Linked DNA regions of Xenopus tropicalis. The protein of the gene in region 1 purifies or fractionates together with the protein of each later gene. This does not show direct contact. Links are inferred from orthologs where the notes say so. Each region holds a gene or a part of one and is shown on either strand. Other genes may lie near its edges.

Region 1 (7,275 bases):
TCAAATAAACGTCTCCAAGATGGCGCTGAGCATGGTGTTACAGAGCTCACATCCCTACCTGTGGAGATGAAACAAGGCAGCCTGTGAGGGAAAAAAGGAATATCCTTATCCAAGATCGGGCATGTGCGACCCAAACGCAAATATAAAACAGTGTGCAAAGCAGTTTGATCTGGCTGCTGCTCAGCGTCACTATAAAAAGTTACAATGTTGCAGGTGCCATGTCGCAGGCTGTGGCACTATTTGTAGGCTTGCAGGGGACAATTTGCTGCTAGTTAGAGACTACTTTTAACCTCTGAGCGACTAAATGCCGCAATGTGCTATGTGTTGGAACTCAGTGGTAAAAACTGCAATGTAGGGGCACTAAAACCTTGTGGGCTTGCACCTTGTGTAGCTAAATGCTGTAAGAGCCATCCCCAGGGAACTCTAAGTGCAGGGAAGCCAATGAGCAATGGGACACCTGCACCAACTCAGCAGAACATGCGGGGGCCCTAACATATCAGTTGGAGAGGTAATATTTTGGCCGACACATGGGCCAATGTCCTGCTGTAGTGTCCCAAGCCTGAAGCCAGTATCTATTGGTGAAGGGGCACCTTTATGGCCAGAAGGTACCATACTGTCAAGAAGGCAAGATGTAGGATGGAAGGCAGAGCATCAGACTATTAGCCGCAGTGCCATATAAGTGATGGTGTTCAGTGGCTTTATAGGACAGCGTTAGGATTCTGAAGTGGGGGAAGATTACTCTGAGCCAGTATCGGACTGAGATGCCTGGGGCTCACCAGAAAACCTTGGACCATGAGCCCATTCTCTAAACTATTATTCCTCCTTTGCTCATTTAATCTCTTTATTATCCTAGTCTCTTTGTTCTTATACAGCAATAGGGAATGACCATGAAGCAGGCCACCAGGAGTTTTCCTGGTATCTCAATGGACCAGTCCAACTCCTGCAAATAGTTAGCAGCAAGAGGGCCCACTGACACCTGGGTCCCCCGGGAGTTTTCCTGGTTTCCTGCTGGGCCAGTCCAACACTGCTGTGAGCACAGGAATAATATTTAGGCCTGAACTTCATAAACTGTCAGATGGACAAAACACATCTGACAAATTGTTGGGTGTAGTTTCATGGGTTACAATACAATGGAACTGATAAGAAAATCTCATGTTTAAACTACATGAAAGGATTGCTATCCCACACAACATGCTTGTCAGAAGGGAAAGCAGCATGCTGCATCTTCATCTGACAAGATAAAACCTGATGGATTCTGACAGATTTTTTTCTCATTGAAATTCATAGTATGTCGGATGTAGATGCAGGAGCAAACCCCTCTATCCTACTTTACATTACGGCCTATGGAGGTCAGGTTTTGTAGGATCCTACAAAATCTTGTGGTGTTGCATGACAAAATCAGATAAAATGTGACCCACAAAATCTGATCAAAATCTTCTGTCGAGTTTAGCCCTTAGTATAGTCCCTGCAGATTGTAAGGGTGCACTAGTGACATGGCCTCTCTTCGGGGGGAAACCCTGTTCCTTGGTCATTGCTGGAACTTAAAGCAAACATTACCGACCTTTTATGTGCTTTTTGCACAAGCCAGAGACATTTAGTTAACATAAGCATAAATTTATTCTGGTTTGGGGATAGCGCCATCTGCTGATAGTCTGGAGTTTCAATGATGAAGTGTGAAAGTTTATTTGAATTAAAACAATATAAAATAAACAAAGTTATAATAAATGCCTTTGTTGGGAGCGGTTTGTTAAACACATTTTGTCATAGCTGAGTGTAAGTAAGAAACTTTAAGAAGTTTCTGCTCTACACAGTCCTACATTTTGCTGGGACAGGGATCACTGAAATTAGACCCCACGGCGGAAGAGTCATTCAGAATTTCTATTCAAAATATTTTACTGTACTAAGGAACAATACGTAGTGACTTATAGTGGTTGTTCTCCTGTAAATTAAATTTTAGTATGATGTATTATATTCAATGATATTTTGAGACAATGTGCAATTGGTTGTCATTTTTTATGGTTTTTCAGTTATTTAGCTTTTTGTTCAGCAGCTATCTGGTTGCCAGAATCTCATTTACCTTAGCAATCAGGCAGTGGTTTAAATGAGATTGGAATATAAATTAAAGAGGGGCACGGAAAATTAGGAGGATAAGTAATAAAAAAAATAGTTCCTCAACTATTAATAGAAACCACGTAGGATCCTCATGAGTGATCGTGTCTGCTACCAAAACAAGAACAGGGATGTCACATAAGAAATAATAATAATATTCCTGCATTTGCAAAAAACCTTACTGTCCAGTGTGGTGGGTAGTGATGAAAAGGGGCAGGACGTGATTAAGAGTGGTGAGGGATGATGAAAGGGGGTGGGATGATGACACAATAGATTGAAAAGGTATACCTGGGGTGAATGGGGCAAATTCGTGGGGAAGGCCAGGTAATTACGTTGCCGGTAAATTTGTAATACCGGCCCTAATCAAATGATATGTTTTTAAAATCACAGGCAAATGTGAAATGTGTGCAACATAAATACACAGCAAGTGTTTTAATTGAAAGGACCCTGGCCATCAGCCCTAAGGCACAGAGATAGGAGAATCATACAAAGATACATTGAGCCATAAATCAAGCACCCAAAACTTCATGGTTTATTTAAAATACTTTATCAATGAAGTTTCTTGTGTTAATTTAAAGATAGCCCATGATCTTTATTACACACTACGTAAACAGAACTCTGTAGGAATGGTGAAATCAACCAACTCTAATAGGAGTGGCCACCACAAGATTTATTATACAAAGACAAAACACAGTATAGAAGCCCCATCTCAATCCCATTATTTCAAAATAAAGAACAGAACCATTCTTACCATAATACATATATATATAAAACATCCTGATTCAGTCTCTAAAAGGACAGAATAACCATGAATTATAAAATCCAAATTTATAGAAAGTCTTATATCTGTACATTTATGTACAAGTTTGTGTTTATTTTTCCCTGGACAAAAGACGGATAAATACTGTTTGGAAGTTCTGGTTTTCTGTCACATTATATAAGTCCCGTCCTTGTAATATTTGATAGTGTCCATCTGTTTGGTCATGATAAGGACATCTTGAAATCCGGTACTAAGGCCAGACATGTGCTGGAAGTAGGCTTCTTTCTCCACTTGCACAGTGAGGTTGTTGACTCCCGCGTCCTTTAGAAGGGATGTAACCTGTCATCAAAATCAGACAGAGGTGAGCACACTGACATTTATATTACAAAATGCAATCTTATACACCAACTAAGTGTCTCTACCTGGGGTACAATCATCAAACTGCAAAGAGCTAAAGCAGCTGGCTTCATATGGGCAGTTGGTATCTGTAAACCTTCCTAAATATATATACATTATAAGGGTGAAGACACACAAAGCTACATAGTTGCAGCTACTTGTCATGGCTACTAAATGCCAGGAAATCCCCTGCCATAGACAATACTGAAAATGACCTCTCCTAAAACACATGTAGAGACAGTTATCAGTAAACGGTCCGCATTGTCTATTTTAGTAGCCATGACAAGCAGCTGCTACTAGTAGCTCCTCGAGTCTTCACTCTAACACAAAAAACACCTACAATGCTTTCTGTCCCTGGAATTCTTTTCTACAACAGAAAAAGATAGGAGAATAAAAAGATTTTGGATAGGAGTCCTCTCAAGCCCCTGTGAGCCTGCATTGATAAATAGGTTAGATCTGGTACAGAAAATAAGCTAAACCAATCCCTACTATAGGTAAAAATTACTCTTTACTGCCCAAGTACCAGAATTGTCATATACATAAAGTCAAGAGAGAGAAAGGGCTTCTAATTGTGGGTACAGTGCTAGGAAAAATAAATGCACAAATGTGTAGGTATGAAAAGATTGTTTCACTATAGTGCCTATTGTCAATACTTCTGCTGAGCCTATAGCTGAACAGTGTGCATCTCTATAATGTTCAAGGGAGCCTTGTTCTTTACAGCTAATCATGTGTAAAGTCTACAATTCTATTTACATGTTTTACACTTGAGTCCAATAAGTAAGCAAAGTATATTTAAGTTAAATTAGTGAAGTCTCAAAAGGCCCCAAATCAAAGCAAAACTAAAAGTGCCCCACCAAGCTCTATATTAATCCTAGTGTGGATGGATGCAGTGCAGCCAGGAACTAGTTGGCTCTATAATGCAGTAAAGGACTGCTGAGCTCCAATTTGCAAAGGTGAAGAAGTGTCTTGGAATTTTACCCAGAGCATTTTTGCCACTGGGTGGGATGAAAAAGTTTCTTGATGGGGAAAAATATACAAATTAAAATGCAAAAAGTTTGCACCCACCTCATCTGCCTTATTAAAAACTTTTCTGGAAGCCTGAGCATTTCTGCAAATACAGCACAGTTAATGGAGTTGTTCACCTTTGAATTAAAATTTTGAATTGAATTTTAGTATGATGTAGAGAGTAATATTCTTAGACAATTTGTGATTGGTCTTCATTTTTTAATATTTGTAGTTTTATAGTTATTTTTAGTTCAGCAGCTCTCCTGATTGGAGTTTCAGCAGCTATTTGGTTGCTAGGGTCCAAGTTACCTTAGCAACCAGGGAGTAGTTTGGAAGAGAGACTGGTATATGAATATGGGAGGGCCTGAATAGTAAAGAAAGTTACAAAAAGCAAGATCAATAATTAAAAAGTAGCCTCACAGAGCAAGTTTTTTGGCTGCTGGGGTCAGTGACTACCTTTAAAAACTGCAAAGAGTTGGAAGAAGACCAATTGAAAAATTGCTTAGAATTAGCCATTATATAACATACTAAAAGTTAAAGGTGAACCACCCCTTTAATTTGCAAAAGATCGCAACCAACTTCTGTGTGCTATTAAGGCAGGAGAAGGCAAACTTTGGGGCAGGAGCAGAACCAAAATGTACCTGGCTAAAAGGGGCTGGGGAGAATATGGTGTTTATTGTGGTTACAACCAATGCTTCAGGCTCACATTAGTCAAAGTGCACTTACCTGCTGAATGATCCTCTGTTCTACAACATCTGACATCACCTGAACATGTATAGTCCCTGCAACTAGAGAGGCAGAATGGCGCCAGAAATGTGGATCCCGGTAGGAGATTAGACCGTCAAGGTTAGAAATCTGGAAGAAAAAAAAAGTGTTTAAATAAAATTATATTTATATATGATCATTAATATAACTGGATAAGCACAATAGAGACTGTTTCCGCACACCCTAGCTCTCCAAACTTGAACGCCAGGTGCACAGTGCAAGAGGGATCAGCACCCTCCCAAAACTACAAGGCAACAAAAAAGCAAATGGCACTCAGGGCTACAAGGGAAAAACCCTTTAAAAATTTATTGCGGAGGTGCAACGTTTCGGAGCAAAAATAGCCGAGTGCCATTTGCTTTTTTGTTGCATTAATATAACTGGCACATGACTAGTATTTCAGTGCTTGGGTTTACACCTTATTAGGTGTATCTATAACGGTTTCTTTTTACAGAGGGATCTTTTGAATGATGCATCACAGTTGCATTATAGTTACATAGGGCTAAAAAAAAAAAGATCCAAGAGTCCAGAGTCCATCAAGTTCAAGAAAATAAACGCACTGGCCCATTTATAAACAGGAAGTGCACAGACTATACTGTGCTAATCTCTAGCGCTCTGGTAGAAAAGTCTAAACCACATTAGTCTTTACAGTCCCATATTGTTCTCCATAAAATAAATTCAGTGCTTCCATCTCAAGACTTGAAGGCTACCTAGCCTTAAACAGGAGTAGCTTTTGTGCTAACTAATGTCTGTTACGCTTTTGTCAGGACAGACAATAGCGATGGTGGGGGCCAGCGTAAATTAGCCTTTGGGGAGCCATTTCTTATGATACGGTTATTATAATAAACAAGGTATGCGGAGCTCTAACCTTTTCAAGTGCAATGTTTATTCCTTTTTCAGTTTCTTGTGGTATCCTCAGAAGAATCACCTGGCAGGCATCCTTAAGCAAAGGCAGGACACTGCCAAATATTAAGACAGCAATAAACAGCGAGCATAAGGGGTCAGCAATGAGCCAGCCAAACTGTCGAATCAGGATGGTTGATACAATGACTCCAACACTGCCAAGTGTATCTGCCAGTACATGTAAGAACACACCTACGAAATGGAAAGTGATCATTGAGATCTACACATTTTAATGTTAATTTTTCCATTTTTAGCTCTATGTTTTTTCTACAGCTCAGAATATACAATCTTCAGTAGATAATGGGATTTATATGTGAAAAAAAGACAAAGCCTTTGTTTCTACAGCCTTTTTATAGGTTATGCCACATCTGCTAGGATTTGTAGATATCAGATGACAAGGGAGTGACTAGATAGAACGGACTAACATGGAGGTCAGAACATGCATTTACCTCTCATATTTGCATTCATCCCTACTCCAGCAGACCCATGAGAGTGTCCATGGTTGTGGGTATGTCCATGGTTATGGCCGTGGTCACTGTGTGAGTGACCATGGTTGTGCCCATGACTGTGTCCATGCCCGTGGTGAGAATGGCCATGATCATGAGAAGGACACCCTCCTCGAGCAGCCCCATGGGAATGAGCATGGCTGAAAGCACAGATACCAACAAGGTTTACGATCAGTCCTCCAACTGAGACAGGCTATCAAAAAGAAAAAGACAGCACATGGTTACAAAGATTATACTTACACGACAAAAAATATACACACACCTATACCTACAAAGAATGCAAAGACATTTTGTACAAAAAATGCAGTCCAGCCCCTTTCAGTTGTATAATATTTTACTTTGGCTAGTTCCACACACGATAATTTGGCTCTAAATGCAGGAAACAATGTCAACTGAATACATTCGATCAGGGTCAGGCACTAAATGGGTTCATAGCAAACTATATCCCCAAGTTCAACATGAGTTCACTGAATAGTGCTTGAGCTAAACATACTTTTTTGATAAACAGATCACCAGTACAGAACCCCCTCCCCTACACCATCAGGCTAGTGGCAAACTGCGATTTGTATGAAAGTGGAGAAAAGGATGTCTTTTGTAGGATGCTAAAACAGGATTTAGGTTCCCCTTGTAACTTAAACAGCACTTATCACTTATTGCCTGCACTCCAGAAGGGAGAAATATATTTTTTTTTGTAACAAAAGCACCCTATCAAGTACAGTGGCCCCTGCAGCGGGAGGCAGCTTCCAGTGTGATGTTGGAGCACACACATGCACATAATGAGCAAGTTCCCTGCAGCTAGCGCATTATGCACAAGACGTAGATAGGACGGCACAT
Region 2 (7,860 bases), on another chromosome or scaffold:
AAACCTATTTTGTCACCGCTGTGCACTGAAAAAAAAGGAATTAGGATTAAAAAAATGCACCCAATATAAACAGACATTTAATGGCTCACAAAATCATGTGTTTAATACATTCCTCCCCAGCTTATTTTGTTATACATGTATGGGACCTGATATCATCGTTAGTAAATATGAGCAGGCACTCTAATGAACACAATTTGATAAATCTGCCCCTTAGTCTATGACTAACTGTTGAGAGAACACGAAACACACAAAACTGCTCTTATGTGTGCAAAACAAAATTTGGGCCTGTTTGGAGGACTGCTCATTGGAGTTCCTGCTCATATTTACTACTGATGATATTCACCCCCTAAGCTAGTAAGTTACCATTTGTGGACATTTGTCTGTTTCTATAAGGGATCTGATATCCAGAATGCTCAGAACCTTGGGTGTTCCAGGTAAGGGGTCTTTTTGTAATTTGGATTTCCATCCCGTTAGTCTACTAAAAAAATAATTTAAACATTAAATAAACACAATAAAATTGTTTTGCCTCCAATAAGGATTTATTATAGCTTAGTTAAGATCAAGGATAAGATACTGTTTTATTATTACAAAGACAAAATCATTTTAAAAAATTTTAATTTTTTTATTAAAAAGGAGTCTATGGGACAGACGTATGGGACTAAGCTTATTGGATAACAAGTTTCCAGATAATGGAACTCATACCTGAGTATGTATTGTATTTGGTTCGTCACATGCATCAAGCTCTAAACATTATTAGTAATTAAAAGCTCTGGAGTCACTGAAATCAAGCTGGTTATACACTACACGGTGAGATAATGTAAAAACTTTTTCTAGCCTGTGATAGTTGCTAGAATCTAGAAGATTCTGCATAACATGGTATGACTGGAGCAATTGCTGGTGGTTCCAGGAACTTTATTTTCTGTGGGAGGGGTACAATAGTTATTATAATACACAAATTTCAGTGAGTCATATACATAGTTAAGTTGGGCTGAAAAAAGACCAAAGTCTATCAAGTTCAAGCCCTCCAAGTGAACCCGGCACACACATAGACCTATATGTGACCTATCTATACACTCACATACATAAACCATATATACCAACATGAATACTAACTGTAGATATTAGTATCACAATAGCCTTGAATATTATGCTTGTTCAAGAACTCATCCAGGCCCCTCTTAAAGGCATTAACAGAATCTGCCATCACAACATCTCTAGGAAGGGCATTCCAAAACCTCATTGCCCTCACCATGAAAAAACCACCTAAGCTGCTACAAACAAAAGTTCCGTTCCTCCAATAAAAAGGGGTGGCCTCTGTTGCACTGATTCTTTTTATGGAAAAAAGAACATCACCTAATCATGACCCCTCACAAGCGCCTTTTTTTCCCAGATAAAACAACCCCAACCTTGACAGTCTAACCTCATAGTTTAAATAATTTACTTAAAATTGAGCATTACACCACCAAACATTGATTAATATAGAATAATCTTGTGGGTTTAAGCCAGGTAGGGACCACCTATTCCTCTGCTCCTGTCTTTAGCAGCATTCAGATAAGCACATAAATCTTTATCCACATTATTGATCTGTTTTCATTTCTATTCAATGCCTTTTGCTGAAGAATAAACACACTGTTCAGCCAAAACTAATCATTTTATAGAAGTGGATGAGGCCTATATACAATCACGTGTAATAATTTATAAAGAGCTGAAGTGCATATTAGTAACGCGCGGGTCAAGAAAAACTGCTCACAACCCGAACCCTACCCGATACGGCTCTTCTCCCCTCTATTTATAGACCCAGCGCCCACTATGATGGCACAAAAGGGGCGGGGCATGTCGGGGCGTGCCTATAAATACAGAAGCCATAAGAGGAAGCCGGCAGTATTAGGTCGCCGGTGGAGAGAGAAAGCAGAAGAGCTCTACCCAAACCTGCCCTCGACACGCAAGTGATGTGCCGAAGTCGGCCCAAACCTGCGGATATCAGGCGGCCCCCGGACATCACTAGTGCATAACACCCCGCACACTGTCACTGTACCAAATAATCTGCCAAGTGCTTTTATACAGATTACAGAACTCCAAGGTACAACAGGTGCTACATTTGAGATAATACACAATTTTCAGTTTGAGTCATGTGACAAATTACATCACTGAACACTGATTAAAACTGATGACATCACTAAGCATCATCTAAAAAAAATATAATTTACAGGATATTCACTGTTTCTGTGTATTTTGAGGATAAAAATGTAGCCAAGTGGATGCCTATTTTATTACACAAATAACTGTTTTGTAATTTTTTCCAAAACACATTTCTACTGTATCCAGAGTTTGTCAGGCACACAAAATAAAATTTTGTTTGATGATATCTTTTGGCAGCAAAATCATTCATAACCTGATGTACATACAAATTTTTATTTAGAGTAAATTACTGCTACAGGCTATAAACTGTATGTAGTGAAATTTTGATCAGCAACATTAGTATTTCAATACTGGCGCAATCTTTTATGGATATTGTAAAAAGTATGGATTTATTTAATCAAAAGCAAGCATGTTTAGAGAGAAAAAAAAAGGTAAAATTATTAGCAAATCCTATGACTGGGTGTAAGAAACGCATACCACTTATATGGCATTACTCTGTATGTGTGCTATGTTGCTAATCTATGGTAATGAGATTCCAAAATAAACAGAATTCTAAAAATTAAGATTGTGCAAACTGTTCTTGTAAATAAAAAAAAAAGTGCTTCTGGGCACATTTTCATAAATAAACTAGTGTGTTTAGTTAAATCAAGGCCAGTTAGCAATGCACACAATGGAAAATAACGTCAGTGTTCTCCAATAAAGATGCTCCCTAACATCTGCATCCCACCTGTGTGCTGTGGCTCCAGCTCCATATGCCACTGAGACATAAACAAATGCCTGAGACCTGCCAGTGTACACTTTAACCAGTCAGTGTTACTACTTTAAAGGAACAGTAACGCCAAAAATGAAAGTGTATTAAAGTATTTAAAATATAATGTACTGTTACCCTGCACAGGTAAAGTTGTGTATTTGCTAAAGTAACAGTACTATAGCTTACATAAATAAGCTGCTGTGTAGCCATGGGGGCAGCCATTCAACCTGGAAAGAAGGAGAAAAGGCACAGGTTACATAGCAGATAACAGATAAGCTCTGTAGAATATAGTGGGGCTTTATCTGTTATCTGCTATGTGCCTTTTCTCCTTTGAATGGCTGCCCCCATGGCTACACAGCAGCTTTGTTTATATAAACTATAGTAGTCTTTCTGAGGCAAACACACCAGTTGTACCAGTGCAGGGCAACAGTACATAATATTGTAATTACTTTTATACACTTTCATTTTTTGGTGTTACTTTTCCTTTAAGTTAAAAAAGGGATCTATAGATTATGCAGCAGCAATTGATTTCCTATGATCCATTCACATTAATAGACATAAGTGCCAGTTAAAAACAAATATCACTTAACAGAAATAAAAATCTGCAAAGCACCTTGTGTTTTTCAGTTATTTATTATCACAGCAATTATATAAATGATGCAGTGTGTTACTGCTACATCTCTCCATGCTGAGTTGGGCTATATGTTACCAATTTAAAAAAAAAAAAAAATAGAGAAAACCAGTGTCTACTACACTTAACTATCCTTAAACTATATTTCCCATGAGCCACTGCCAGCCTTAACAGGCGATGATTTGTCTTAGCTGAAATATAAGTTCTAGGAAAGCATCTCTCGCTTTTTTTTAAAGGAAAACTGATGGTTACAGCCATTTATTAAAGTCAGATACATATATGGCCGCCATGGGGGGGCAGTCGTTCCGGTCCCTGTAGGTTTTGGGTCTTAAAAAGGACATAGCTATGCCTTACTTACTTGGATTATCGGTTCCCCTGCTGTCAATGAGCTTCGGAAAGGAAAGCAGTTGCTAGGGTGCCCACTTGTTCTCTCCTCAACAATCCCACAGCCACAAATCTCATCACGCGAGACTGGCGTGACAACTGCACGTAAAGTGAGTGACGCATCACAGAGCCGCCTTGGGGGCGTGGCGAGTGGGCGGGACTCAGCGTTCCACAGTAGCGCACTGTTAGTGAGTTGGAGTGGCTCTGCTTGTTCGCTCTGCTTGCGCCTCCTACTTGTGTTAGAGAACAAAAAAGAAAGGACTTTTCTTTCCTGTTGGTTACCGCCATGCGCTCTGCCACCTTAGCTCCCAATTTCCCCTTGAAATAAAAAAAGTTTTTTTGTTTTTCTTTTATCAAGAGTGTCCCCTGCCATCTTCCACGATCAAAGTCTGTTCTCTTGAGTTGAGAAAAAAAAAAAAAAGAGTTTGTGCAAATTAAGGGCAGGGGAATTTGTTGTTTGTATATTCTGTGTTTATTGAATTTGATGTAACAGTCACACAGATTTATATTATGGGAAGTAGAAACAAAAGAAAGCAGAAGGAAAAGGAAAAATTGAGTCCTGTTTATAAATTAAAAGGAAGTAACTAAATTGGTTCCCAAGCTATTTATAACACCAAGGGGCACATTTACTAACCCATGAATCCGAATTGGAAAAATTCCGATTGGAAAACGAACATTTTGCGTCTTTTTCGCATTTTTCGCGATTTTTTTCGGCGCCTTTACGACTTTTCGGAAATTGTCGCGACTTTTTCGTTACCAATACGATTTGCGCGAAAAAACGCAAGTTTTTCGTAGCCATTACGATGAGCTCGTATCTTGTCACGACTTTTTTGTATTGAGCGCTCGTAAGCGGCGGCCGAAACTTTCAGACTTAGCATGATTTTGGAAGCCTCCCATAGGACTCAATGGCACCCTGCAGCTCCAACCTGGCCCAAGAAAAGTCACCATACTGAAGCTTGAATGAATCCGAATCTTTCGTACTCGGCGCGAAGGCTACGAAAAAGTCACGATTTTTCGCGCAAGTAGTAACGCTACGAAAAAATCGCCAGATTTTGCGCAACATTCGGAATGGCAACGAAAAAGTCGCGACAATTTTTCTGAAAAATTGCCAAATACCGATCATTACGAAAAAAACGCAATCGGACACATTCGGCCCGTTCGTGAGTAAGTAAATGTGCCCCCAAGAGCTGTTAACCCCCCCCCCCTAATTTTTTCATAGTTAAAGCTTTTGGCTGCACCCCAGTTGCCCAATAGCATTCTCCCGATTTTTCTGCAATCCTACGAACTTTGCATCAAAAAGTGGTGACGTCATTAGAAGCATTTGCTCATTCACGGGTAGCGATTTTTGGCTTCAATGGGGCATTTGCGTGTGACATCTCTTCTGGCATGGATTCCCCTGGGGCTGAATACAATATTTATTAGGAATGCACCAAATTCACTTTTTTAGATTCGGCCGAAACCCATAAAAGATTCAACCGAATACCAAACTGAAGCCGAATCCTAATTAGCATATGCTAGTTGGGTTATGAAAAGATTACATTTTCAACTTCCGTGTTTACATGATAAAAAGTCACGTGATTTTTAGGATTCGGTTGGCCAGGAACATGAATTCGGCCGAATCCCAAACCGAATCCTGGATTCGGTGCATCCCTAATATTTATGAAGTTTGCTTATACACCTTCTAATCTATGCTACTATTTTCATTAGCTAATCAATTTGTCATATTATTATTTCCACAAATTATCTCCTTGGGCAGGGTTGTCTTCCCATGGGCATCAAACTACATAATAGTCATTATCTTATTGTATTGAGTGAGCTGTTCTTCCATGAGACATATTTTATATATTGCTCATTCATATGACATCAAATGAGGAGCAAAGGCAAGGTGGATGGTGTTCAGGATATGCATTTGGTTAAACAAAGCTGAAAGGCAAAAACAGCTGCTACTGAAGTAGCTTGAATTCCAAAGAACTATTAGGGACTAGACATCTCTCTGTACTTATAAAAAGGCTTTTGTGTCCCTTTAAAAGCAGCGTTCCACATAATAGCCTCTCTTCAAAGAAACCACAACATCCTACTCTGTTTCACCTGCATAGTCAATTTCATACAATTTTCCCCAAATGATGGGCTACTAGTACTGGAAGATGTAGAATGGAGTCTGACCTTGAATAAGGCTTTTGTACATGGAAATAACCTCACAAACCTAGTCCTTGGTTTTATACTTCTCTGTCAAACTCTGGCCAAGATTCAGCCCTGTGTCGCATTAGACTATGGCCACACACCTCTAGTGGGTTTGCTGCTGTTGGCTATTTTATATATATATATATATATTAGTATGATATTTAACTGCAATTTTTTCTACAGATTAGTTAAGTAACCTGCTTACAGTAGTTATGTAAAGCATGATTGATAAGGCAGCAGAAAAATTGAAAAACCATACTATGTCTTTTGTTTAGCTCACATTTGGATTACACTAGCGAAGAAGTGCCCAAATCAACTGCCTCACAAATCAGTCACTGCGATCTCTGTGAATCACCTGCTGTACCAGTACTTGTGTAGCCACTGAACCAAGTCAGCTATTGTGCCAGCCACGTGTTTCTCATTTAACTGACTGTGGCGGACAACTGAAAAAATTCAGATTTGCAGCTAAACAGCCAAAATAAATAAATTAAGTCAAATGTTCACTGTTCAGTCAATGTGCACTGGGCATGGAGGGCAGCCTGCAAATTGTCGGGAAGTGTTGCTTTCATCCGTCGATGCCCTTTGGAAAAATAGCAACATTATCTTAGGGACCTGCAGGACTTTATATATTGGCCGAGACTTAAATTTAAGCTACTAGGAGAAGTCGGGCACAAAGCAGAGGGCCAAGACATTCAGCTCTTTCAGTATCTACATCTATGGCAATACTTCCAAGCAGGAATGGGAGGAAGCAACAGACTGTCTGTATGGGGATCTAATTTTACTGAGGGACAGACTTATACAATTTAAGTTCCTTCATCAAATCTATATCACTTCACTTAGATTGGTAAAAACTGGGGCGAAATCCTGGCGCACTATGCCCCAAATGTGAAGAGAGCAAAGCTACCTTCTGTCACATGGTCTGGAGTTGTTCCCAGATTGTCAAATTCTGAAAAGGAGTTATAGATTATAAGAAATAGCCTTCCCTGGCCCTTATTCCCCAGAGGTCTGTCTACTAGGCCTAGTGGATGACATACTACCCCTTCTTAAGACCAGGTCACTAGCACAGGCCTTACTCTTTTATGCTAGAAAACTTTTGATAATTAAGTGGATGGTGCCCCAAGCCCCCAATGTCCCTGACTGGGTATCAATGGTTAACAAGACACTCCCCTTAATCAAATTAAGCTATGAGCAATGACACATGGGTTGCTTCTATATTTCTGCACAGCTACAAAGGATACCTACATGTAAAGTCTTTTTTTTACATGAAGCAATTCCGTAAATGACATTACACCACTACTTATAGCACTTAAAGAGAAAATATAACCCCCTTCTCTACTTCAGTTGGACTTATGTGCATAAACATTATCTAAACTTCCAGATATAAATGTGTATACATGTTAATGTATTAAAGCGGACCTGTCACCCTAAGAAATAAGTCCAAATTATTTTCTATATTGTTAGTTGAGCAAAATAAACTTTACTTACTCTATAAAAATAATATAAACCTTGTTTCCTTCCGTCTTGGAATTACTCAATCAAAGCAAGCAGGCAGGCGCCATTTTGTGGACACTGTTATTAAGGCAAGCTTTGTATCATGCCAAAATCTTGTTTATGTGCCAGAATGGGGGACCAGATGCCCAGGCCCATGCACTGGCTACACAGGTAGATGAGAAGGAGGGAGGGGAAAAGTGAGATGTGCAGTGACATCTAGGAAGTGCTGAATGGAAAGCTAAAGTTATTGTCTGCCCCGCCTCTATGCCTAAGGCATAGAGGC

Evidence for each region. Proteins that work in one complex are often made in the same cells at the same time.
Region 2: the proteins of slc30a5 (region 1) and csgalnact2 purify together in Homo sapiens (co-immunoprecipitation; 3 studies listed by BioGRID and IntAct, counting the BioPlex papers as one, with this or other methods). This does not show direct contact. The link is inferred for Xenopus tropicalis from reciprocal best matches to the Homo sapiens genes SLC30A5 and CSGALNACT2.

Annotation. Positions count from the first base shown.
Region 1 is NC_030677.2:186,433,661-186,440,935, forward strand, and holds the end of slc30a5 (zinc transporter 5), read right to left. Parts: intron 6,635-7,275; coding exon 6,385-6,634; intron 6,128-6,384; coding exon 5,901-6,127; intron 5,126-5,900; coding exon 4,997-5,125; intron 4,408-4,996; coding exon 4,331-4,407; intron 3,209-4,330; coding exon 3,193-3,208; coding exon of another isoform or gene 3,038-3,192; 3' UTR 2,619-3,037; downstream 1-2,618. UniProt on the Homo sapiens protein: Together with SLC30A6 forms a functional proton-coupled zinc ion antiporter mediating zinc entry into the lumen of organelles along the secretory pathway.
Region 2 is NC_030683.2:50,286,761-50,294,620, reverse strand, and holds the start of csgalnact2 (chondroitin sulfate N-acetylgalactosaminyltransferase 2), read right to left. Parts: upstream 4,012-7,860; 5' UTR 3,880-4,011; intron 1-3,879. UniProt on the Homo sapiens protein: Transfers 1,4-N-acetylgalactosamine (GalNAc) from UDP-GalNAc to the non-reducing end of glucuronic acid (GlcUA). Required for addition of the first GalNAc to the core tetrasaccharide linker and for elongation of chondroitin chains.